3 linked regions of the Rhinolophus ferrumequinum genome follow. The main gene of each other region encodes a partner of the protein of the gene in region 2 in a complex. Links are inferred from orthologs where the notes say so. Each region holds a gene or a part of one and is shown on either strand. Other genes may lie near its edges.

Evidence for each region.
Region 1: the proteins of TNNI2 (region 2) and TNNC2 are in contact, whole or in part, in a crystal structure (PDB 1A2X), measured with the Oryctolagus cuniculus proteins. The link is inferred for Rhinolophus ferrumequinum from reciprocal best matches to the Homo sapiens genes TNNI2 and TNNC2. Residues at the interface, in NP_001076252.1 of Oryctolagus cuniculus: Glu5, Asn8, Arg9, Ile11, Thr12, Arg14, Arg15, Gln16, His17, Leu18, Lys19, Ser20, Val21, Met22, Leu23, Ile25, Ala26, Glu29, Leu30, Glu33; in NP_001076114.1 of Oryctolagus cuniculus: Ser13, Glu15, Met16, Ala18, Glu19, Ala22, Lys91, Leu96, Glu98, Cys99, Arg101, Ile102, Phe103, Arg105, Ile119, Phe120, Ala122, Ser123, Glu125, His126, Val127, Glu131, Ser134, Leu135, Asp138, Phe152, Met155, Met156, Val159, Gln160.
Region 3: the proteins of TNNI2 (region 2) and TNNC1 are in contact, whole or in part, in an NMR structure (PDB 2MKP), measured with the Homo sapiens proteins. The link is inferred for Rhinolophus ferrumequinum from reciprocal best matches to the Homo sapiens genes TNNI2 and TNNC1. Residues at the interface, in NP_001139301.1 of Homo sapiens: Arg116, Met117, Ser118, Ala119, Asp120, Ala121, Met122, Leu123, Ala125, Leu126, Leu127, Lys130, His131, Lys132; in NP_003271.1 of Homo sapiens: Asn18, Glu19, Phe20, Ala22, Ala23, Ile26, Val44, Met45, Met47, Leu48, Gln50, Pro52, Glu56, Phe77, Met80, Met81, Cys84, Met85, Lys86, Asp87.

Annotation. Positions count from the first base shown.
Region 1 is NC_046306.1:12,303,770-12,311,743, reverse strand, and holds TNNC2 (troponin C, skeletal muscle), read right to left. Parts: upstream 3,014-7,974; 5' UTR 2,881-3,013; coding exon 2,878-2,880; intron 1,426-2,877; coding exon 1,374-1,425; intron 1,235-1,373; coding exon 1,091-1,234; intron 990-1,090; coding exon 875-989; intron 710-874; coding exon 573-709; intron 310-572; coding exon 278-309; 3' UTR 137-277; downstream 1-136. Other genes in the region: SNX21 (sorting nexin-21), read left to right, coding at 6,898-7,159, 7,666-7,823. UniProt on the Homo sapiens protein: Troponin is the central regulatory protein of striated muscle contraction. Tn consists of three components: Tn-I which is the inhibitor of actomyosin ATPase, Tn-T which contains the binding site for tropomyosin and Tn-C.
Region 2 is NC_046294.1:1,219,450-1,227,028, forward strand, and holds TNNI2 (troponin I, fast skeletal muscle), read left to right. Parts: upstream 1-4,565; 5' UTR 4,566-4,687; intron 4,688-5,273; 5' UTR 5,274-5,295; coding exon 5,296-5,303; intron 5,304-5,486; coding exon 5,487-5,493; intron 5,494-5,933; coding exon 5,934-5,975; intron 5,976-6,056; coding exon 6,057-6,185; intron 6,186-6,316; coding exon 6,317-6,406; intron 6,407-6,519; coding exon 6,520-6,696; intron 6,697-6,843; coding exon 6,844-6,939; 3' UTR 6,940-7,065; downstream 7,066-7,579. Other genes in the region: SYT8 (synaptotagmin-8), read left to right, coding at 899-992, 1,096-1,262, 1,773-1,862, 2,043-2,210, 2,281-2,448, 2,531-2,636, 2,734-2,867, 2,943-3,176. UniProt on the Homo sapiens protein: Troponin I is the inhibitory subunit of troponin, the thin filament regulatory complex which confers calcium-sensitivity to striated muscle actomyosin ATPase activity.
Region 3 is NC_046300.1:48,074,283-48,081,124, forward strand, and holds the start of TNNC1 (troponin C, slow skeletal and cardiac muscles), read right to left. Parts: upstream 3,014-6,842; 5' UTR 2,915-3,013; coding exon 2,891-2,914; intron 1,382-2,890; coding exon 1,351-1,381; intron 1,137-1,350; coding exon 990-1,136; intron 726-989; coding exon 611-725; intron 391-610; coding exon 254-390; intron 170-253; coding exon 138-169; 3' UTR 1-137. Other genes in the region: NISCH (nischarin), read left to right, coding at 4,517-4,612, 6,778-6,842. UniProt on the Homo sapiens protein: Troponin is the central regulatory protein of striated muscle contraction. Tn consists of three components: Tn-I which is the inhibitor of actomyosin ATPase, Tn-T which contains the binding site for tropomyosin and Tn-C.

The DNA of each region.
Region 1 (7,974 bases), on a different chromosome or scaffold from region 2:
TCCACATCCCGCTGCTGGACTCGCCTCTTCTAGGAGCCGGAAGGCGCTCGGGTGGCGCCAGCCGGGGTGGCGCCCTGCCCAGCCAAGCTGCCCCTGACACCCGCTCTTCGATCCTTCCCTCACTCAGACCAAGCGCTTTGCAACGATTGCTTTTATTCCTTCTAGAAAAGGATCCCGAAAGGGACCGCGCCTCCCTCCCGGGCGGGGAATGGCACGGAGCGGGGAGAAGCCCCGTCACCCGAGGGTGGCGCGGTTTCGGTGGGCGAGGGCCGACTTCTTACTGCACGCCCTCCATCATCTTCAGGAACTCTGCGGGAAGGAGAGAGAGGGACAGGCGGTCAGGGGTCCCCTCGGGACGCAGAACCCTGCGCCGGGGGCGCAGTGTCAGGGGGCGGCGAGTGAGGCCGGGCCAGGGCGCCCGCCGACACCGGGCGCGCGGGAGGAACCCGGTCAGGCCAGCCCCGCCCCGCCCCTGAGGCTAGCCGCCCGCGTGGGTGCCGGCGGCACGGGTGCCCCGCCCTGGATGCGCTCCACGCGGCTCTGTCCCGGCTCCCCAGGCCTGTGGCCCTCACCGTCGAAGTCAATGCGGCCATCGTTGTTCTTATCCCCGTCTTTCATCAGGGATTCGATCTCCTCATCTGTCACGTGCTCCCCAGAGGACCTGAAGATCTCAGCCAGCTCCTCCGCATCGATGTAGCCGTCTGCGTTCCTTCGGGCCGAGGGACAGGGCGGGACTCAGGGCAGGCAGGGGCTCGCCGCCCCCGCCACACTCCACACCCCACTCCCAGCACCCCCACCCCGAGAACCCTTCGCGCCCTGCGGACCGGTCTCCGGCTGCTCAGCGCCTGCCTCGGCTCCCAGGCCCCCAATGCACCTGTCGAAGACGCGGAAACACTCGGCCAGCTCCTCCTCGCTCTTCCCTTTCGCGTCCTCTTTCATCTGGCGCACCATCATGACCAAGAACTCCTCGAAGTCGATGGTGCCGCTGCCTGAAGGGAGCAGGTGGTGAGTGACCCTGAGTCCCGGACACCTGGCTGCCCGCCTCTCCCGATTCCCCCTCGCACCCTGCCTGGGGAGGCCACCCGCTCACCGTCCTCATCCACCTCCTCAATGATGGCGTCCAGCTCCTCTTTGGTGGGTGTCTGGCCCAGCATTCTCATCACCGTGCCCAACTCCTTGACGCTGATGTCCCCGCCACCATCAGCGTCAAACATGTCAAAGGCGGCCTTGAACTCTGCGAAGTGAAGGAAGGCAGAGGGCTGAGGTAAGCCTGGCTGGACTGTCAGCCTCACATCTACCTTCCCACCCTGCCCAGATACCAAACATCCCCCCAGCAGACATCAACCCTACAGTTAGCCTGCCACTCCACTCACCAGCGATCATCTCCTCGCTGAGGTAGGACCGGGCCTCGGCCTGCTGGTCTGTCTGCAGAAGACACAGAGTCAGATGACAGAAGGGGCAGCCCTGGGGCAAATTCTTGCCTTAACCCCTGTGTCCTCAAGCGCCAGCTCTGTAAGTGCCCCTTGGTCATCAGGAAGAACAACTCCAAACTAGCCATCCCTTCTGCCTGCCCCCACAGCCCCGGACCCCAGTTTTGGATAACTAGAGAGGAAACATTATGCCCAAGGCCTTCTCGCTTGTCAATCAGAAGTCAAGTCAGGAACCCCCCCAGTAACCTTGGGGGGGGTCACTTGATGTCCCCTCATATCCTCACCTCTTCTGAGCAGCTTTTCAGGGATGAAATGAAATTAGGGCTGTGAAAGGACTTTGTAAAGCGCCAGCACCAGTCCAGCGTGATTTCCCCATTTTCCCTAGCTCCTAACTGTATCTCGTACTTTAATAGGTGCTCAATAAATGTTTGTTCTCAAATAAATCACACAACACCACGTTCCTGAGCACCCACTAAGTGTCAGAACATAACCCAAGCACTAGGACCACCAAGCAGACACCTCATCCTTCCCCTCTGGGAACTTGCAGAAGTGGAGATGTTTAAGCTTCCTTCTTATGATTCAGTCATTAGAGTAAAGGCCACTCATGCCAGGCAGAACATGATGGGGGCCTTGCAGGGGTGAAAATAAGATTCCCGTGGGGTTTCCAGTCACATCTAAGCCAAGCCATCTGGATAGGGGGCTTTGGACTGTGGCTGGTGGTGAGGAAGGGCTGAGGCACCCAAGAAGTTCCTCTGGCTGGTGGCTGGCCCTCCTCCTTGCCCCCCTCCTCCTTGCCTGTGCCAGGAGGACAAGCTAATTTTAGGCTGGTGAGGGCAACAGCAGCTGGCCTCCAGGGTCTAGTTACTCCTTGAAGTGCAGTGGAGAGGGGGATCTCAGAGAAAGATGATAGCTCCAAAGCAGACCCCCTCTGTGGGAGGCTGGGGTCTCTCTAACTCTGGCCTGTCATCTTCTGCCCCTTCTCATAACCCTTGGAGCTTGAGGCCCTGGAGGCCTCCCACCTTCCAAAGGAGACTTTCTTCTCCCACTGGCAGGAGGGTTTGGCCAGGCTTCTCCAGCCTATCCCTGCCACCGGTTCGCTGGTGTGACTCACTCTGGCCCTCAGGGTCCCCATCTCTACCAAGCTAAGGTAGACACAAGCTAAGACACCCCCCTCACAGGTCAAAGACCAACATTGCTGGAAGTCCTAGAAGGTCTGCAGGAAATCTGCACACCTTGAGGGCCAATGCCGGGGACATCCCCGCCCTGCCTTCCAAGAGAAGTCCAAGGCTTTCCTCCCAGGCTTCCTCCTAGACACCTGGGTTGCAGGAACCTTCACATTCCATCTTCAAACATCCAAGTTACTGTTCCACAGAGCACTCGGATTTGGCTTTAAAGAGCCCAGGCGTCCTCCAGCAAGCAAAGGGATGAAGTCCCTTCTTGTCCTTACCATGGTTCCTAGTCACAGGGACTCCTCTGCTGCTGGTCACCTCCTCTGCACTCCACCACCCAAAGATGCCCTGGCCCGCTCCAGGCCCTGGGATTTGTAGGGGCACCTTATCCTCCCACCTCCCTGCTCCCCAGGACTGGATGCCCTGGCCAATCAGATCCTGGGGTCAGTGAGTCCCCCCTCCTCCCGGAGTCCTAGCCCATTGCCTAATTTAGCCAAGGGCCCTTGCAGAGAAATTGAAGCCTCAGAGCAGGTGGCAGGCCTTGACGTCCTAGATTCTTAGAGGAGAACCCGCCCTGCTCCACTACCTTCGCGAGCCCCCTCCAAGAAGCACACTTGCTCCAAGATGGGTGAGGACAATCAGAATAGAGAAAAGTGAGGCTACGCGGTGGAATGGGGAAGCACAAACCTTGAAGTCCAAAACCCAAAATCTAAGTCCTGCCTCGGCAGGCTGTGTAACCTTGGACAGGTGGCAATGCTGCTCTGAGCTCCTGTTTCCTTGTCTGTGAGAAGGGCACAGTCATAACCTCCCTCACAGAGAGACTGTGGTACACAGGAGCCCAAGTATAAGTCACCTAGCTTGTGCCAGCTACATACTGTTGATGCTTGGCAAATGGAATGTCCTGTCTTTGAACAGGACCCGAGGAAGGGAAAGTGACAGCCACAGTTATTGAACCTCTACAACATGCACACACTGTACTAAGCATTTTAACCACATTATCTCAGAGCTCATCTAGTACTCATCCTGTGGGGTGCCAACTATTGTTATGCCCTTTTTATTGGGGAGCTTTGTAAATCATAAAGGTCTATAGTCAGATTGGTGATTCGTATTAATCTTGACTGAGGGGAACTTGGGACAGACACTTCTTGGGGGACCCATCCAGACGGAGAATTGTTCGGCCGGGTCCAGGAAACAGGATGTGCCCTTGGAGGAGAAATCAACATTGAAAGCAGATTCTTCTCTGAAGTTTACCTTCTCCAGGGAAAGGATTTGGAGATTTACTTTTTGGGGGAGGAAGAGGACCAGAGGAAGTTTGTCTAATTAGATAAAGGGGCAGCGGACCCCTTGTTGGAGCTTGGGGGTGAAGTCTGCAGGTGCTCAGCTGACCATCTGGAGAGTAAAAGGGTGAGCAGATCAAGTCACGTCTGAAGGGGTCCTAGCCTGAGAATCCACAGGGTCCAGCCTGGGCGTTGGGAAGTAGGCCACACTCATGACAATGGTTAAGGCAACAGAAAGAGCTCTGAGACAACTGAGCACAGAGTCTGGGGCCAGTGAAAGGGGGCTGGACACCAAGGTAGGCAGATGGACAGTGGCAACTGGGCTGCCCTCTTCCCCTATATATAGACATTCCCAAAGGAAAGCTCAGAGGAGCCAGGCCAGGCTAAATAAGGCCTCTCCAAGCCAGACAGAGGGCCAAGGGGCGATGACACTCAAGGGATTCCAATTTGGACACAAACGTTGGAACCACTTGATCCCTTTGGAACAGAGTGTGGAACTCTCAGCAATCATTTGTTCATTGATTTGTTATTTAATTTGTTCAGGGGCATAGATAACATCCACATTTAGTGTGGCCAAGCAAGGTCCCACTGACCACTCCCATCTCACTCCCCTTCCCTCCCCACCTTGCATGCTGCTTTGCTTTGGTCCAATGAAAATACAATTCAAAACACCACCCTTTATAGCCTCCAGGCCTTCGCACGTGCTGTTTTTTTCTGCCAGGATCTTCCCATCTTCCCGCTCTTCATCTGCTTACTTCTCTATCTTTCTCAGCTTTAGCATTACTTCATCCAGGATCCCTCTTCCTCTACACCCAGGCCAAGAGAGTCTAAGGTGGTCTCCAGTAGTTTCCTCAGTCATAACACTGCACGTGCCCCATGATCACAACCCGTTCTGAGTTCCACAGACAAGAGGCGGTGTCCTAGTCACCACTGCATTGCCCAGTACCCAGCACTTGGCACTTAGCAAGGGTTCAATAAAGATTGTGTGCTTTGTAAGAATAACTGAACTGAATGGCTACTGGTTCAATACAAGAAGGAAGTCACCGTTGAAGAACAACAGGAACAGGCAGCCTCAGGAGGTGAAAAGCTTCTTGTTACTGAATGCATGCAAGCAGGAATTTGATGACCATCTCTCCATACAGAGTCTAAGAGTAGTGCAATACAGGACATCAGGAGATCTCCTTGTTCTGGCCCTGTTTGTGTGTCCCAGGGTAAGCCCTTTCCCCTCCCTGAGCCTCAGACTACCCATCTGGAAAATGGAAGTGCTAGGCCAGATTTCTGAGAGACCCTCCTGCTCTGACAACCCATGGTTTTATGAATACCTGCTTTGTACCCAGATTGTGAGGCATATACCAAAGTACAACTTAATATTCAGCCAATGTTTGGTGAATGAGTGAGTGTTGAGTGAATGAATGAATGATGTGTCTTTTTTGCCCCAACACCATGCTGGTAAGCTGAATGAAGAGTAGTTAGAACTTTGAAATTACACAGACTTGGCCTTAATTCCAAGCTCTCCTATTTCCTAGCTGTGGATTTTGGGAAAGTCAATTTGCCTCAGTTTCTTCATCTTGAAAATGGACCGTCATTGTCCAATAACAACCCCTTCCCTAGGATGTTGTGAGGGTGAAATGTGACCCCATGCAAAGTGCCTAGAACAGGATGTACACGGAAACTCAATGGAACCTCAAGAAATGAGAGCCCCGCCCCCTCTGCACGTGGGATGGCAGGGAATGTGTTTTCCATTCAAAGCTATTTTCCCCTACCCCCCTCTCCTGTGCCATTCAAAACGGGTGGGAGCTACTATCAGAGCGATTTTATTTGTTCGGTTGTATAACTAGCAATATCTGCCCTGTTAGGGACCAATATCTGGGCCTTCCGACACAGGCAGCGACAATAAATTCTTCTTCACCTGCTGCTACCATCCCCATAACACATAAAACACAGCCCTCCATAGATGTTGCTCAAAATTAGCGGGCCTGCTGCTTAGGAAAAGAACAGGGAAAGAACTCAGAAACCTGGGCTATTAGGCCCCATACTCAGAAAACTCTTGGCAAGCTGTGTGACTTTGGGCAAGTAACTCAGTCTCTCTGGGTTTCTTACCCTTTTGCCTACTTCCTTTATGTGAGGCTCAAGTGGAATTGTAAAAGCCTATGAACACTGTAGAAACAATAATCATGTGACTGATCATTCTGTAAATCCCTGCTCTGTGCCAGGCACTGGACTACGGTCCTTACAAAAGCTGCAAAATTAGTACTAGTATTAATTGTACTTTTATACATGAGAAAACCTAGGCTCAGCGCGGTCAGATTCCAACCCAGATCACGGGTCTTCTCTTGGCCTTAGTTTTCTCACCGGAAAGATGGGTTTCCCACTGTCACGTAATGACTTTGGAGAGTTCAAGAGTGCTGGGTGGAAACTAGGGGCTATATTGGGTCCAGCCTGAGTCTCCGGGATGGGTGAGAGGATTCAAGGAGGGTGTGAGCCCCGTCGGATTGGAGACGATACCGCAGGAGGCCTGGGGCTCGCCCAGGCCTACCCAGGATTCCCAAGTCTCTCCTAGAGCAAAGGGCCTGGGATTCCCGGGCGTCTCCGGGTAGCGGGCGGGGCTGGGGGCGGGGCGGCGGCAGGAAGCGGCAGGAGCGGCGCCCGGAGCTGCTGGGCCGGGCAGAGCCGGCCCGGCCTCTGTAAACGGCCGGGGGCTGCACCGGGACCCCTAGGCAGCGACGCGTCCCCGAGTGCTCCGCTGAACGCAGGAGGTCGAGACGCTACAGGGGGAGACAGAGACGTGGGTAGTAGAGTCCCGGCCCCTCCCGGGAAGTGCGCGGCCCCAAGCTGTGCGGGTGAGGGGAGGGGGATGCGAGAGGAGTCCCGGGACTCTCAGGACCCCACCGGGCAGGGGCGGGGCCTCCGCGGCGTCCCTCCCTCCCCCAACCTGGACCCCTCCCCTCCTCCTTCCCGATCGGGGCCCGGGTCTTCCGCCAGGGCTCAGGACCCACAGTCACGCACTCCCCCTAGGGTGCCATGGCTTCGCGGCTCCTGCACCGGCTGCGGCACGCTCTGGCCGGCGAGGGCCTCGGGGAGGCGGCGGCCGGTCCCGAGGTCGAGCAGTTCCCGGAGAGCTCGGAGCTGGAGGACGACGACGCCGAGGGCCTGTCCTCCCGTCTCAGCGGCACCCTTAGCTTCACCAGCGCCGAGGATGCGGACGACGAGGACGAGGACGACGACGAGGACGACGGCCCGGACCCACTGCCCCGTGGGGACGAGGCGTCGGGAGAAGACACAGGCGAGTGCGGAGGACGAAGGCGGAAACCTTGGGGGCTCGATTAGGCCTCCACCACGGCCACCTTCCCGAGATGGTCACAGGGCTCTGAGTTGATCTTGCCCAAACTCCGAAATTCTGACACTTTGAAGTGTCCCAACCACCTCTTGAATGTGTGACCTTGAGAGAGTCACAATACCTTTTTGAACCAAGTTCTCCCTAGTGTCAGATGGGGGAAATCACTCCCTTCTCAGAGTTGTTGCAGACATTAGCTGTACCAGAGTCAGGGATACAACGTGGTAATGTGCTAGGGATGTCTTGGGGGTGCAGATATTAAGTTAGTGCCTACTGTGCACTTATCTGCCAGGCACGATGTTGGGCATTCAGGCCCTCTCTGGCCCTCAGTTTCCTTTTATGACAAATGGGGATAAAGTTATGTCACTTGTTGGGAGGATGAGTAAGGTCATAGAACGTGGTTTATGTGATCCTGGCTCCGGGCCCATTGATGTGACTGGTCTGTACTCATGCAGAACAGAACCCCCCACCTGATGGGCAGCGGGGTAGTCAGCACCTGGCACGGCAATTGCAGGATTTCTGGAAGAAGTCCCGGAACACCCTGGTACCCCAGCGGCTGCTCTTCGAAGTGACCAGCGCCAATGTGGTCAAGGACCCCCCCTCCAAGTACGTGGTGAGTGAGTGTCCAGGAATTCCTGAGCTGTGAGTCTACAAGTCTAGCTAAGAGAAAGTAAAGACGACTCCAACTTCCTTGGGGGGAATGTGGCTATGTGGATATAAATGGCTGCCCCCATTTTACAGATGGAGAAACTGAGGCCAGAAAG
Region 2 (7,579 bases):
TGGGTCCCTGCCATGGATGGGAGGGGCCAGCCTGGCCAGGTGTTCTCCCTCCCTAGGCCCCAGGCAGGCGGCTGTGCTGGCCCGCCCTCCTTCCTACCCCCTCGCCTAAGCGTGGCAGATAGGCAGGTCTGGGCCGGCGGGCTGCTGAGTCAGTTTGCAAGGAATGTTCTGGCCGCTCCCAGCTACACCCTGCCCCTGCCTGCCCCCACCTCGCCCTCCTCCCCAGGTGCTGCTCGCCCCGGCCCGCCCGTGCCAGGAACGCACCTTCATGCCGAGCTTGCTTAGACCAGCTCCCATCGGCAGCCAACCCCACTCCTCACCCTGCTGCTCCCCCCATGACCCCAGCAGGTCCCTGATGCCTCTGAGCCCCCGTCATCGTGCTCCCAGGTTACTCATGGTTCGGGGGTCACATGTGTGAACATGGCCCACCTGTGTGGTGGGCAAACCACGGTGGGCCTGAGGCCAAGGCAGAGATGAGATGGGACCCCAACAACGACCAACAGGCAGGGCCCTGGGCCAGGGGAATGAGGGGGTTTCCTGAAGGAGAAGGCCCTGCAGTGAGGGCGGAAGGCTCTGCAGGGAGGACCAGCGAGGGCAGGGCCCAGGCTGCCCAGGCCTGGCGTGCTTGGCTAGGGCTGGGGGCTGGGGAGGTGGCCAGGAGGCCGGGCCTGTGGCGGCTGAGCCGGCACTTTGGCCAAAGCCCAGGGCCTCCCTCTCCTGGGCTCCACTCAGAACCATCACCCCTGGCCACCCCAGGCTGCCTCCTGGCCCAGGCAAACCCAAGCTGGCTGCTGCTGGGCTGATGGAGCGGTGGACAGGGGACCCGAGGGGCTATCCCCACAGGTGACCCGGCTGCCCCGGCTGTCTCCCATCTCCTCCAAGCCAGCAGGGTGGGAAAATGGGGCGCCCCACAGACCCCGACAGCACACCAGCCCCAGTGGGCACCACAGCTGAAGCTGGGCTCATACCAGACCTCATGGCCAGGATCCCCTGTGAGTTGTGGGATCCCGGGGGGGGCATGGGGATGGTCCGGCCCAGTTGGGGGGCAGCCACTGGACACAGAGGCACCTCAGGCCCTTCTGTGTGCCCACCCAGGGCCCCGCTGGGCACTCATCACCGTTGCTGCCGCCGCCGGTGTCCTCGTGGTTTCCTGCCTCCTCTGTGTTCTCTGCTGTTGCTGCCGCCGACACCGCAGGAAGAAGCCCAGGGACAAGGTGGCCGTGGGCCTGGGCAGTGCCCGCAGCAGCACCACCACCCACCTGGTGAGGAGTGGCTGCCAGTGCTCGTCAGTGCCCAGCTCCCAGCTGGGGCCGTCCCAGAGGGCAGCTCAAGGTCCAGGCTCCGGGGCTCAGGGTGGCCCAGTGAGCCCAAGGCTGAGCTCAGCTCCAGGGCCGGCTGGTCTGCCCAGATGCAGGGGCCGGGGGGCCCCCTTGGCAGGGGAGCCATGAGCAAAGTGGGGAGGGAAACAGTGACAAAGAGAGGCAGGTGGGACCAGGGCCTGAGGGCCGGGAGTGCCAGCCCCAGGGATTGGGCCGTGTGCCACGGGGTGCCACAGCAGTTTCTTGAGGGAAGCAGTGGTGCCAGAGATGGATTCGGGGAAGGTCCCTCAATTCTGGCCGGTCTCAGAGCTGAGCTGAGGGTGTGAGCCCTTCCGGTGGCCTGGCTGGAGGTGGGTGGTTTGACCCGAGTCCCGGAACGAATGCCTGGTAGGCCCAGGGCTCCCATGGGGGCACGGTTCCAGCAGCACCTGTCAGCAGTCCCTACCCACTCAGGTGCAGCCGGAGGTGGGTAATGTGGAGCCCCCACCCCAGCAGTGGGGGCGCCTGCAGCTATCCCTGCAGTACGACTCAGGAAGCCAGCAGGTGAGGGCCCCACTTTGCGGGCCCAGAGGGTCTGTGGGTTTGTGGTGGCTGAAGGGTGATTGCTAGGTGCTGGGTGCTGGGTGCTGGCTGCTAGGTGCTGGGCACTGGGCACTGGATGCTGGGTGCTGGGTGCGGGGCTGACCAGGGAAAGCCCTGGCTGAGCCACATCCTGGCTCCCAGATCAGGGTGGGCCTCAAGCAGGCAGTGGACCTGAGGGCCAGGGGCCCGGGGGACACAGCAGACCCCTACGCCTCCGTCAGCCTCTCCACCCAGCCCAGGCACAGACATGAGACAAAGGCACACCGTGGCACACTCAATCCCGTGTTTGATGAGACCTGCTGCTTCCATGTAAGTCCGGGCCTGATGGGTGGGGAGCCTGGGCCGGGTGGCAAGGGCTGGCTCACACTCCTGCCCGCAGGTCCCGCCAGCAGAGCTGCCCCAGACCACCCTGCAGGTGCGGCTTCTCGACTCCAGGTGCTTCTCCCAGCATGAGCCCCTGGGCGAGCTCAGTCTGCCACTGGGTGCCATTGACCTGCGGCACGTCCTGGAGCTCTGGCACCAGCTGGGCCCCCCGGGCACCACCGAGGTGAGGCCACTGACCACCAGGCTCCAGCCTGGCTCTGTCTGGTGCCAGCAGGGAGGCTGAGGCCCCCTCTCGCCACCCACAGGCTGAGCAGACCGGGGAGCTGTGCTTCTCGCTCCAGTACGTGCCTGGCTCAGGCCGGCTGACCGTGGTTGTGCTGGAGGCCCGAGGCCTGAGCTCAGGGCTGGCAGGTGAGGACCGTACCTGCCCACATCGAGTGGACAGAGGGGGGCCTGAGGGCTTGGCTGTCAGATCTGCATCACCCTCCAACCTCTTTTGCCTGCCCAGAGCCCTACGTGAAGGTCCAGCTCATGTTGAACCAGAGGAAATGGAAGAGGAGAAAGACATCTGCCAGGAAGAGCACGGCCAGCCCCTACTTCAATGAGGCCTTCACTTTCCTCGTGCCCTTCAGCCAGATCCAGGTAGGCCTGCCTGGAGGCAAGGGAAAGGCGGGTCTTCACTGGGGGACAAACTGACCACTGTCTTTCTCTTCCCAGAGTGTGGATCTGGTGCTGGCAGTCTGGGCCCGGGGCCTGCGGCTCCGGGCCGAGCCGGTGGGTAAGCTGGTGCTTGGCGCCCGGGCCTCTGGTCAGCCCCTGCAGCACTGGGCAGACATGCTGGCCCATGCCCGGCGGCCCGTCACCCAGTGGCACCGCCTGCGGCCCCCCAGGGAGGTGGACCGGGCCTTGGCCCTGCAGCCCCGCCTGCATCTGCCCTTACCTGGCTCCTGAAAGCGTCTCTGTGCCTCAATCTCCCTGGACTGGGCTGGGGGTACCCGTCCAGGCCCCTCTGTGGGGCCCACGGCAATAAATTCCTCCTCCTACCACCGCTACGTGTCCTTTCTGAGCCCTCAGGGGACACAGTAGGGTCAGGAGCCCCTCCCAAGGACAAGGAGAGGGTTTCTTCTCCAGACTCAGCCAGGTCCTGAGGCTTCTGACCAACGCCTGACCCCGGGTGGGGTGGATGGGCTCCTCCAAGCCCAACAGGGACAATACCAGGAGGGGGGGAGCCCTCCTGTCTGTGGGGGTTGGAGCATCAGGGATGGCGTGGGGGGAGGGGAGACGTCCCCACGGGCACAGGGTGGGCGATTGGGAAGCATTGCGGGGAGCTGGTGATGGTCGATGGAAGGAACCCCAACTCCAGGGACTGCCCCGGCTCCTCGCAGAGCCCCAAAACCTGCAGGACAGTGGCTGCAGGGCCTCCTCTGTGTGAGCAGCAGGGGGCAGCAGATGCCTTTGGAAGCTGCTGGGGCCTCTGGGGGCTCAGCGTGGCCGGGAAAGAACGCAGCTCTAATCCCCCACACATCTGGAGGCCTCAGCTCTCCCTGACCCTCCCCACGGCCGAGACACGGGCAGGGCTGGGGCCCGCACCCCAGCTCAGAGGGTGCCAAGTCATGGTTCTCCAGATGCCTCTCCTGGGTGGGGGCCCCGGGCGGGGGACACAGGCCCCAACCAGGGTGAGAAGGGCAATGCCGGGCCTGCCTGGGCCCCAAGCCCCTCAGGTCAGGGAGGGTTTCATGAGGGTGGTGTCACCATCCTCGCTGAGGGACGTGTTCCGAGCTGTGCAGGAACGTCCCTCAGGCAGGGCGTCCCTGGCAGGCAGCACGTCCAGGGCACCCCCGTTCCTGTTCCCCAGCAGGCGCGGGAAGGCAGGATCCCACCCAGGGGAGGGCAGCCCCACCCCAGAGACCCCCGCCACTGCTGCAGGCCCCAGCCGGCTTGGAGAAGGGGAGGCGCAGCCAGCTCGTGGCTGAGGCGCCTGCTGGGCTGAAGGGGGACTGTGAGCTGCAGAAGAGGTGGCTGCAGTGTGGACCCTGGTGTAGCACCAGATGGGGCCAGGCTCCCAGGGTCCCCTCAGAGACCCCTGAGCCCTGCACCGCGGCCCCCCCACAACCCCCCCCCCACAGTCCAGCCAGGCTGTGCATAGTGGCCTCAGGCTCCTTGTGAGTGAGAACCAGGAGTCTTCCTGAACTCGTCAGAGATCCCTAAATAGAGCAATCCAACCTCAGTACCCCCCTCCAAGACTTCTTGGACTAGACGGCGGCACGAGGCTGGGCCGGGCCAGGCAGCCTGGGCAGGTGGTGAGGTCCCTGTGCCCCCATTGGTCTGAGAAGGGCTCCATGCCCTTTCTGAGCAGGGGCCCAGCCTGGGGGAAGCCATTTATACCCCTCCCCCTGGGCCCACCAGCCCGACTTGCCACTGCCAGCCTGACCTCGCTCCCAGCACCGCTGCCCAGACGTTAGGTGAGGCCGGCCGGGCCAGCTGAGGCTGGGGACAGGCACCACTCGAGACAGCTAGCAGGAGGACTTCCCTGGGTGGGGGGCTGGGGGCTGGGGGCCTCCAGCAACCCTGTCTGGGGGGCTTCCATGGAGCTAGGAGCAGGAGGGCTGAAGTCGGGCAGGGGTCCTGGACAGCCCCTGGTGACCAGGCCTCATGTCTGGGACACGGGAAGGGGGCTTTAGGGTTGAGGGACCCCAGGTCAAACTGGGGAGCAGCTTCTCGCATGCACTTGGGCCCAAAGCCGAAGGAGCAGAGCTAAAAGTAGCCAGTGGCTCTGGCAGCCACCTGTGCTGGGCCATCTCCCCCCTCCCTTGAGGACAGCTGCCGAACCCCAGGCCCTGCCTGGGACATTTCTGGAACACTTTCTCCTCTTACTTCTCACCCCAGGGAATTCCAAGACATCGTCCCCACTGCCCAAGGAGGTCAGAGTTGGGGACAAAGGGCTGGGTTCATGTGAGGTGCTGCACAAGCCACCCACAACCACGAGCAGCTAATGTCCGTGGCAGAACGGGTCTGTGGCCCTGACACCCCTGCCTTTCTCTCCTACAGGCTCTAAGCCCAGGACCTCAAGATGGGGGAGTAAGTGGAGTCCCCACCCCTGGTGCCCCGTCCCCCCCGTCCCCCTCCCCCCAGGCAGGGGTCTCTGCGTCTCCCCAGCAGTGACCCCTGCCCACCCTGGCCACCTCCTGTCCCCACCCGCCCCAGCACATGGCCCTAACCTCTGCCTTTTCTCCTCCACCTCCGCCTGCCCTCCTGGGACAGTGATGAGGTGAGTACCTTCTTGGGGTGAAGCCCAGGGACTCGAACCCCCACTTGGGATAGGTCAGGGGTCAGAGTTTCAAGCCCCAAGGAGACACCCCACCCCCAGACATTGATGCAACAGAGGAAGTGGCTGCCCGGCGCCTCCTGGGGCAGGGGAAGTGGGACTGTGGCCTGGTCACCAGGGGGATTGCTTCTTCTTTCTGATTACTGCACCCCCTCACCCGGCCCTGCACCCCCGCCCTCCCCACTGCCTCTGAGCTGGAGCCTCTTCTCCACACCATGCAGGGTAGTATCCTGGGCCGAGCCCCCAACCAGGGCCTCGGGGCTTCCTAGACCCAGCTGCCTCCTGAGCAGGACCCCCTGGCCTGGGCGGGGAGTGTGAAAAGGATGTGGGGTTCTGGGGGCTCCAGGCTGGTCCTGACTCTGCCTCTTCTTCCCGCCCTGCAGAAGCGAAACAGGGCCCTCACGGCCCGCAGACAACACCTGAAGGTAGGTATGGCTGGGGGAGGGCCGCTGGGGGTCTCCCAGGCTGAGCCACAGCCCCTCACCCGCCCCCCCTGCCCCCCACAGAGCGTCATGCTCCAGATTGCCGCCACGGAGCTAGAGAAGGAGGAAAGTCGCCGCGAGTCTGAGAAGCAGAACTACCTGGCAGAGAACTGCCCCCCGCTGCACATCCCTGGCTCCACGGCCGAGGTGCAGGTACCCCAAGCCTCGAGTCGAGCTCCTGCCTCTCGCCTCAGTTTCCCCATTGGGCAAGAGGACTAGTAGGGTGGTCAGGGCAAGGGGGGCCGAGTGTCGGGACGGCCGCCCACCTGCATGTCCACCCCCAGGAGCTCTGTAAACAGCTGCATGCCAAGATTGACAAGGCCGAGGAGGAGAAGTATGACATGGAGATGAAGGTCCAGAAGAGCACCAAGGAGGTGAGAGGTGGACGGGCAGGGGACACGGGGGGAGGGGGGTGGGGGGGCAGGGCGCCCCGACCCGGTGGGGTCCGGCCCCGCCAGCTCCTACACAGCCCTCCCCATCCCTACAGCTGGAGGACATGAACCAGAAGCTATTCGACCTGAGAGGCAAGTTCAAGAGGCCGCCGCTGAGAAGGGTGCGCATGTCGGCCGACGCCATGCTTAAGGCTCTGCTGGGCTCCAAGCACAAGGTGTGCATGGACCTGCGGGCCAACCTGAAGCAGGTCAAGAAGGAGGACACCGAGAAGGTAGGCCACTCCGCCATCCCTGCAGGGCTGACTCCCCCAGCTCCCTCCCGGGGAGCCCATTCACAGAGGGGGAACGGAGGCTGAGGGTGGTCTCCAGCTTCCTGGTGGGCTGCGTGGGCCTGAGACTTTTCCTGGCCCCACGCCCAGGAACGGGACCTGCGTGACGTGGGTGACTGGCGGAAGAACATCGAGGAGAAGTCTGGCATGGAGGGCCGGAAGAAGATGTTCGAGTCTGAGTCCTAGGATCCCCGCCGCCTGGTGGTCGGTGGGGCGCTCTGGGCTCCCAGCACAGAGTGCAGGAGGGCAGGCCGACAGAGCTGGCCGGACGACCAGGCTCACGTCAGCTGTCAATAAAGGCTTCCAACCCGAGACTGGTTTGCTGTGGTTCTGCCCCAGCCTCTGCCTGCCGGGTGCCTGGAGCCTCTGGGTGCCCGCCACGCTCTGGGAAGGCCCCATCAGACGGTGGTGTGCCAGAGCTGTCAGCCACGTGCTGGGGAAGCCCGGGATGAGGGCATGGGGGAGACATGCACGGGCTCCGGGAATTTCAGGCCGGGTTGGGAAGGCCCTTATACTGGAATCCACCCGGCCTGCACCCTGCGGTTGCGTGGGATGGTCGGTGGTCATTTCCAGGGTGCTCTCCAGAGCTTTCTCTAGAGATAGATGGCCCAAGTCGTGTCTGAGCAGGAATTCTCAGAATGAGGTCATTTGTCCGTTTGCACAGTCATCATGAGAGGCCCCCACCCACACAGAGACCCCCTCCGTAAGAGACAAGTCCCGGCGAGGGGCCACGGCAGGTATGCACAATGTGGGCAGACCCCCATTCCTGTCAGGCTGCCCGTCTAAGACCCCACACCCTCCCACAGGGGACACACTGGACAGTGTT
Region 3 (6,842 bases), on a different chromosome or scaffold from region 2:
TGGGGAGGGAGTCAGGGATGGCCTGCGGTCAAGGACACGCCCAGGCTCACATCCTGGGGACACCGGCCCCTTGCCCCACCCCAGGGCCCAGCTGGAGTTGGAAGGTGGCACAGGCAGCTCTGGGAGAGGGTCGGCCTCTACTCCACCCCTTTCATGAACTCCAGGAACTCTGTGGAGAGAGTAACAGGCATGGGTCAGAGGTGGGGGCTGGCACGGTGTGGGCAGTGGGAAACCCGGTACATCACGCCCTCACCGTCATAGTCGATCCGGCCGTCATTGTTCTTGTCACCATCCTTCATGAGCTCCTCAATGTCGTCCTCCGTGATGGTCTCACCTGTAGCCTGAAGCATTGTCTTCAGCTCCTCCAGGTCAATGTAGCCGTCAGCATTTCTGCAGTGAGTCCGGGGCAGGGGCGGGTCTCAGAGCCATGGACTGGGGAGGGGAAGAGGCAGCCCCACCCATGACCCAGGGAAGCAGGGCCACTGAGAGATGGAGCATCCCACTCTCCCATTACACAGAAAGGGAGACTGAGGCCTGGAGGTCACAAGACTGTTCCACTTTCCCGAGCTCTGCTAGAGCTGGAGTCAGAGGTCAATGGTCACATGCTCACTTGTCAAACATGCGAAAGAGGTCAGACAGCTCCTCCTCAGACTTTCCTTTGCTGTCATCCTTCATGCACCGAACCATCATGACCAGGAATTCATCAAAGTCCACTGTGCCGCTGCCTGGAGGGTAGGTGACACGGCCATTAAAGAGGGATGGTCAGAATGACTGGTATCGCCCTTGAACCTAGACTCCGTTTTTCTCACTGCATCCACACACCAACCCCATGAAGCAAGGTGGTCATTATGCCCACTTTATATATTAGATGACTGAGGCTCAGAGAGGCTAAACTGTTCCTTCAAGAGCACAGGATAATAAGTGGCAGACGCAGGATTCAGGTCCCCAGTGACCCGGGGGTCTGGGGCCTGTAGGGCAGAGGAGCTCACCATCCTCGTCCACCTCGTCAATCATCTCCTGCAGCTCCTCAGGTGTGGGGTTCTGGCCCAGCATCCTCATCACCTTGCCCAGCTCCTTGGTGCTGATGCAGCCATCCTCAGCGCCCAGCACGAAGATGTCAAAGGCTGCCTTGAACTCTGTGTCCGATGGTCGGGGGGTGGAAAACAGAGTGGCCAGGGCTCAGCAGCCAGGACCCCAAAAGGCAAGACCCCTCAGGCCAATCTGCCCACTTCCCTCTGAGCCTTTGAGGTCACAACGAGAGGGACCCCAGCCTCTCTTCTCCAGCCTGGGGTCCTCCTGTTCCCACAGCCCGGCCCTGCTGTTTCCTTACATGTGTGTTGGAGTACTCACCATTTTTCTGCTCTTCTGTCAGCTGCTCTACCTAGAGAGGAAAAGAGGTCTCAGGACTCAGGCTCCAGGCTTTAGCTGCTGTTGAGGAAACCAACCCATTCCACAGGTGGGAAGACTGAAGCCAGGAAGAGGCGTGCCATTTCCAAGTCACATAATGGAGGCCTCAGTCCTCCCTTCTTGCCCCCAAAACCCTGAGGTGACCCAGCCGGCCTCACTGAGATTGGGTTCAGGGCCAGGGTGACAGGTGGGCAACCCTCCGTTGACTAGGTGACCCTGAATAACAATAGTTAGTGACCACTCAGTGCCCAATTGGACCCCTGCTGAAACCCAAGCTGGGTGGCCCGAGGGACAGCTGTCCCTCAGGTTGGGACAATAAACCCAGTGTGGGGGTAGGTAAAGCCACCCACTGTAATTTGACCGGCATGGCCACTGGGCTATTTTTAACGGGCGACAAAGTTAAACCTGGTGATTGTTCTGGGGACTGTGGCATGCAGGGGGTGGGGCAGTGTTATCTGGCCCCCTGGCCTGCTGGTGCCTCAGGAGCCAAAATTAGCCCCCAGCCCCGCCAGGCCTTGTATGGGCACAGGCGGAGGGCTGCTCCCCCCAGCTCCAAGGACTACTGCAGGATAGGAAGGGGTGCCCCCAGAGCCAGCTATAGCCCTTCCCTGCCTAGGAGTGGGACCACAATCCCAGGGCTAAGGGAGGGGTTCCCTTGGGGACAGCTGTCTGTACCAGATGTCCTTGTCTCTGGCGCAGGGAGAGGTCAGCAAACCAGCCCCCCGCCGATACAATGGCATCTGAAGCCCCTCAGTGAGCCCAGAAGGCTGCAGGGACTTGAGGTAACCACTCTCCAGCCCTCACCCCTGGCTAAGCCGTTGAGCCCAGAGCCTGCCGGGCCAGATGGGGGCTTGGGCCCCAGTTCTCTGTTCCTTCTTCCCAGTCTCCCCCGTGGCCAGTCCTTCCCTGCCTGCTTCAGACATGAAAGTCTCTTCCCTAGCTTAGGATTCTGACTCTGCAGCCCGCTCTTTACAACTCCTGTCACCCCCTTCCTCCACAGCATCTTCAGCCAGCTAAGGGGCTGGAGGGGGCGGGGGGGATTGTGAGTGTGTGGGAAGCAGAATATGAGGGGCAGAAATGTGGGTGAGGACAGGGAGACAGCGGCTGAGACTCAGACAGCTTAGAACAAAGATGAGAAGAAGCTGAGAAAAGCAAAGCTCCAGAGACCAAAGACACAAACGCAGAGATGTGGCTGAGAGACCACAGATGTGGATACAGACTGGACACTTGGAGACAGGGACAGACATGACCCTACAAGGTGTGACCTCCTCCTCTACCCACTCTGACAGATCCTCTCCAGTCCCTGAATCCCTTCAACACCCAGAACACCAGACCCACCATCCCCTTGAGGCCCTGGGCTGAAAGTATGTGGGTCCTCTCCTGGGCCCCCACCACATCCCTGGAGTGACCTTGCCCTCCCCCCCCCACCCCGCACTCTGAGATGAGTGAGCCCCCAGTGGGTCCACCCAGCCCAGTCCCTCACCGCTGCCTTGTAGATGTCGTCCATGCCGGCGACTCACAGGGCAGGCTGCTGGGGTTGCCAGGCAGTCCGCCCTGGGCTTAAATAGCCCTGCCCCAGCTGCATTCCGGCCCAGCCCCCCCCCCCAGTGTGGAGCATCCTCCACCCCCTCCCCCGGTCCTGGTGATCTCAGACTGGCCTGAGTCCCTGTGTCCTCTGCCCAGGAAAAGGAGATGAAGGCCTGTTAAGGACCAAGTCTCTTTCCCTTTGTTCCCCCATGGCCTCTAGGGGACTCCTTGGAAAGTTTTCTTGAATGAATGAAAACATGAGCCCAGGACAGGACAGGAGCTGCAAAGTAGTGGGGCCCAGGCCAGGCCCCTACACAGCAGCTCAACCTCCCATCCAAGCAGGGGGGTGGGTGACATTACTCCCACTTTCCAATAAGGAAACTGAGGATCCTGGAGGGGTGGTGATGTGGCCAAGGTCTGGCTGATTTGGTAGCCCCTGTCTTACACTCTGCAGTGGAGGGCAGCTGTATGCAAGGAGAGGCTTGGGAGTATAGGGCCCTGCCAAGGGAAGCCTGGAGTGGGAAGCTCTGAGCACAGTGCTATGAACTGGTAGATAAGGAAGTCACTGACCCACCTTAGGACTGAGTGGTCTGGAGCCCTTCAGCCAAGGGTGCCAGAGGAGCCATAACCCGGACCTCTCATCTCCACATAGTACTGTTCTGGGTTTGGTTAGCTGCACTCAGTCAGCCAACAAACACACCTATAGATACCCTGTCTGTGCCAGACTCTCCCTCTCCTTCCCCTCCACAGCTGGGCTATTACCTCCCTCTTTTAGGTCCAGGTCTGCCCCCGGGTTAGGGCTCTATCTCTGTGCCTGTGCTTCCCATTCCAGCACTGTAGTTCCTGGGTCCAGGGCTAGTCTGTCACCCCCTTTCAAGCTCCGGTAGGTCACCACATGTCTTGTGCCCAACGGCCAGCACATAACCCTTCCTTCCACCGTCACACCCCCACCATGCAGAGCCCCGTCTTGATAACCACACCAGCTCCCTGCCTTTGAACCGGACACTGCATGCATTAACCCACTCAATTCTCCAGCAGCCCATGTAACAGAGATTTCCGAGTGTTGGAGAGGGTAAGAACTGGTCCAGAATTCTCTGTCCCTGTTTAGGCTCTACGCACAGCTCGTATCTTCTTCAACCGTTTCTAGCCTAGAACGAGTCTAAGAGCTAGCGCGATTACTGCCTCCCTTTTTCGGAGAGGAAAACTGAAGCCAGGCGGAGCAGTGACTTGCTTCGGGTAGCCGAGGACGCGTGGAGCTTTCTGTCCTCCCTCCCGGGCACGGAAGGGTAATGCCTAGAGCTACCTGCACGGGGCCTCAGTTTCCCCCGGTTGCTAGTAGCGTGACCGGCGGCACCACCCTGATACAGATTACGCAAGCGGACAGGCCTGCGCACGCGCGCCGTGAGTGGCTGCTGTCAATTATGCGCGAGGGGCGGGGCGAAAACGAGAGGAGGCGGTGGGGCCAAGATGGCGGCACGGGGCGCGGCGAAGGCGGGGGCCGGTGGGAGCCGGGGGATGGTGGGACGCTGACCCCGCCCCCTGCTGCTGCCAGTCTGCGCCGGGAGGCGGTGAAACCCGGAACATGGCGACTGTAGCGCGCAGCTTTGGGCCGGAGCGGGAGGCCGAACCGGCCAAGGAGGCGCGCGTCGTGGGCTCTGAGCTTGTGGACACGTATACGGTGTGCTGGGGCCGTGGGTGCCCGAACCGGGGGTGGCGGCTGGAACCCCGAGTCCGAGTCGGGGGATTGGGGAGGAGGTCTGGGTTCCGTGACCGGGGAGGGATGAGTAGCGGGCCAGCGATTTCGAGGAGGGGGCCGGGGATAGGGGTTTCTGGGGAATGGATCTGGGCCCCGTAGGTCCAGGAAGAGGGCCCTAGGGTAGAGCCCAGGGAGGTTTTTGGGGAAAGAGTACCTGTTCAGGAAAGGAGGCTAGTCGGGGGGAGGATCTGGGGAGGATCAGGGGATAAAGGGGGTCTGGGGAGGAGAGGACGTCTAGACGAGATGGAGGGTCCTCTAGATCCTCTAGGCCTGGAAGGGTGCCAGCCTGGGAGGATAGGCGAGGGGGTCCGGGAGGAGGGGGATTAAAGAGAGGATCGCTGATGGATGGAATCGGGGGAAGGGTCAGGGCCCTGTTCGCCGCGAAAGAGGAGAGGGGGCCGGGCCTTGATCTGGGGAACCTAGGGTCGCTGTTGAGATTTGCTCCAGGTCGGGCCCAGCGGCCTGGGGTTCAGGCCGAGACTAGAAAGAGGTAAGGGTGGAGCCCACACATGGGGGCATTGAGGGTTTCGCTCAGGGCTGAAAGTGCAAGACCCAGGAACCTTAGGTGTTTTCATGGCTTTGGGGGCGAGTTGGGGCAGCAAGCCCCTCCCACACAGTCACACAAACACACCCGTCCAGGCTATGGGAGAAATGGAGGATATGAAAGAGGAGGGTTTAGGGCAGTGATGGAACCCTCCTGGGTCTGGATGGGGTTGGACGCCAGGCCTATGGATCTGGTAGGCTGCCTGGCAGGGTCTGGTCCTGAGGTGGGGGCGTACTGAACACCTCCCAGCTCCTATTCTTTGTTCCCAGAGGGTGGGGGTCTTTGGCCCTGCCTTCGCCCCACCCCCTTGGCCCTCATCCTAACCCTCCTCCTGAGGGTCGTTCCTCTGGCTCTTTCTCCTTTCTTGGACACGAGGAGGAGGGAAGCTGCCTTGCTGGGAAGAGGGGCTGGGGGCGGATCCTGGAGCAACAGGCCAGCCCTGGAGAAATGGCTGCTTCTCTCTGTGGAGGCTTCAGCTGAGTTGATTAATTTCTTCTCCCCCTTCCCTGCTTGCTGCAGTGTGGGGCAGGACACTAGGTGAGGGTTGAGGTCTCTAAGCTGGTGGCTGGCTGGAAATCACCCATGGGCAGCATTCAGCTGGAGGGTCAGCTCCAAAAGTTGTCTTTACTGGCCAGGGCTGAGCCACTCCTGAATGGGTGTGGGGGATGTGATGATCCAGGCCAACCTACCATTTGGCTCCGGGTGTGCTGAACTGAATATTATTAACACACCTACTTTTTATTGAACACTTGCTGCATGGCAGGCCCTGTACAAAGCATTTTACATGCATTACCTTATTTGATTCTTAAACCTAGCAGATTTTAAGATGGAAGAACTGAGGCTCAGAGAAAACGTAGGCTTCCCAGTCACTTATATAAGTGACTCGTCCATAAGCACAGCCAGGCAATGGCAGTCAGGTGTTGACCTGAGGTCTTCCTTGATCCCATTCCCCTGACGGCTAAGTCATTTTGCCTTCTGTTAGGGCTTGATAGTCCATCACCATCCTCCCGTCCCACCCATCCATCAGCTTCTTGGTGCCTTGACTACTGGCTCAGCAGCAGAAATCGCAGCTGTGATCCAGCTGAAAGGGTTAGACTAGGGCTTGCTTCCAGGATATGGGCAGGGCACCTAGGAAAACATACAACAGAGAAGCTAGCCCTGCCAGACCCGGCCCTGTTCTGCCTCCCTTGGAAGAGATGGCCTTGCGTGCAGCTCAGGTTGGATTGGGCATTGAATTACCTGGAGACTGGAGGTAAAAATCTAAAGAGATGGTTTGATATGATAGTCACCTTTTCCGTTCCTCTCTGTTGGCTAGAGCCACAAACATCCTGTGTTCCTGCCAGATACAGTGTTAGTGCCGTTGAGGAGGCTAAGAGGGGGCCCTGCTGTGCAACAAGAGTCAGGTGCAAAGGCTGGTGGGGAAGGGCAGCCTACCTTTGTCCTGTGGCTTGAGAGGGTCTGGGTATCCTGCAGCTATTGCTGGGGGCGGGGTGGGGCTCTCCTTGTTACTCACTCGGCAAGGGCTGCCTGTTTTCCCTCGTAGGTTTACATCATCCAGGTCACTGATGGCAATCATGAATGGACAGTCAAGCACCGCTACAGTGACTT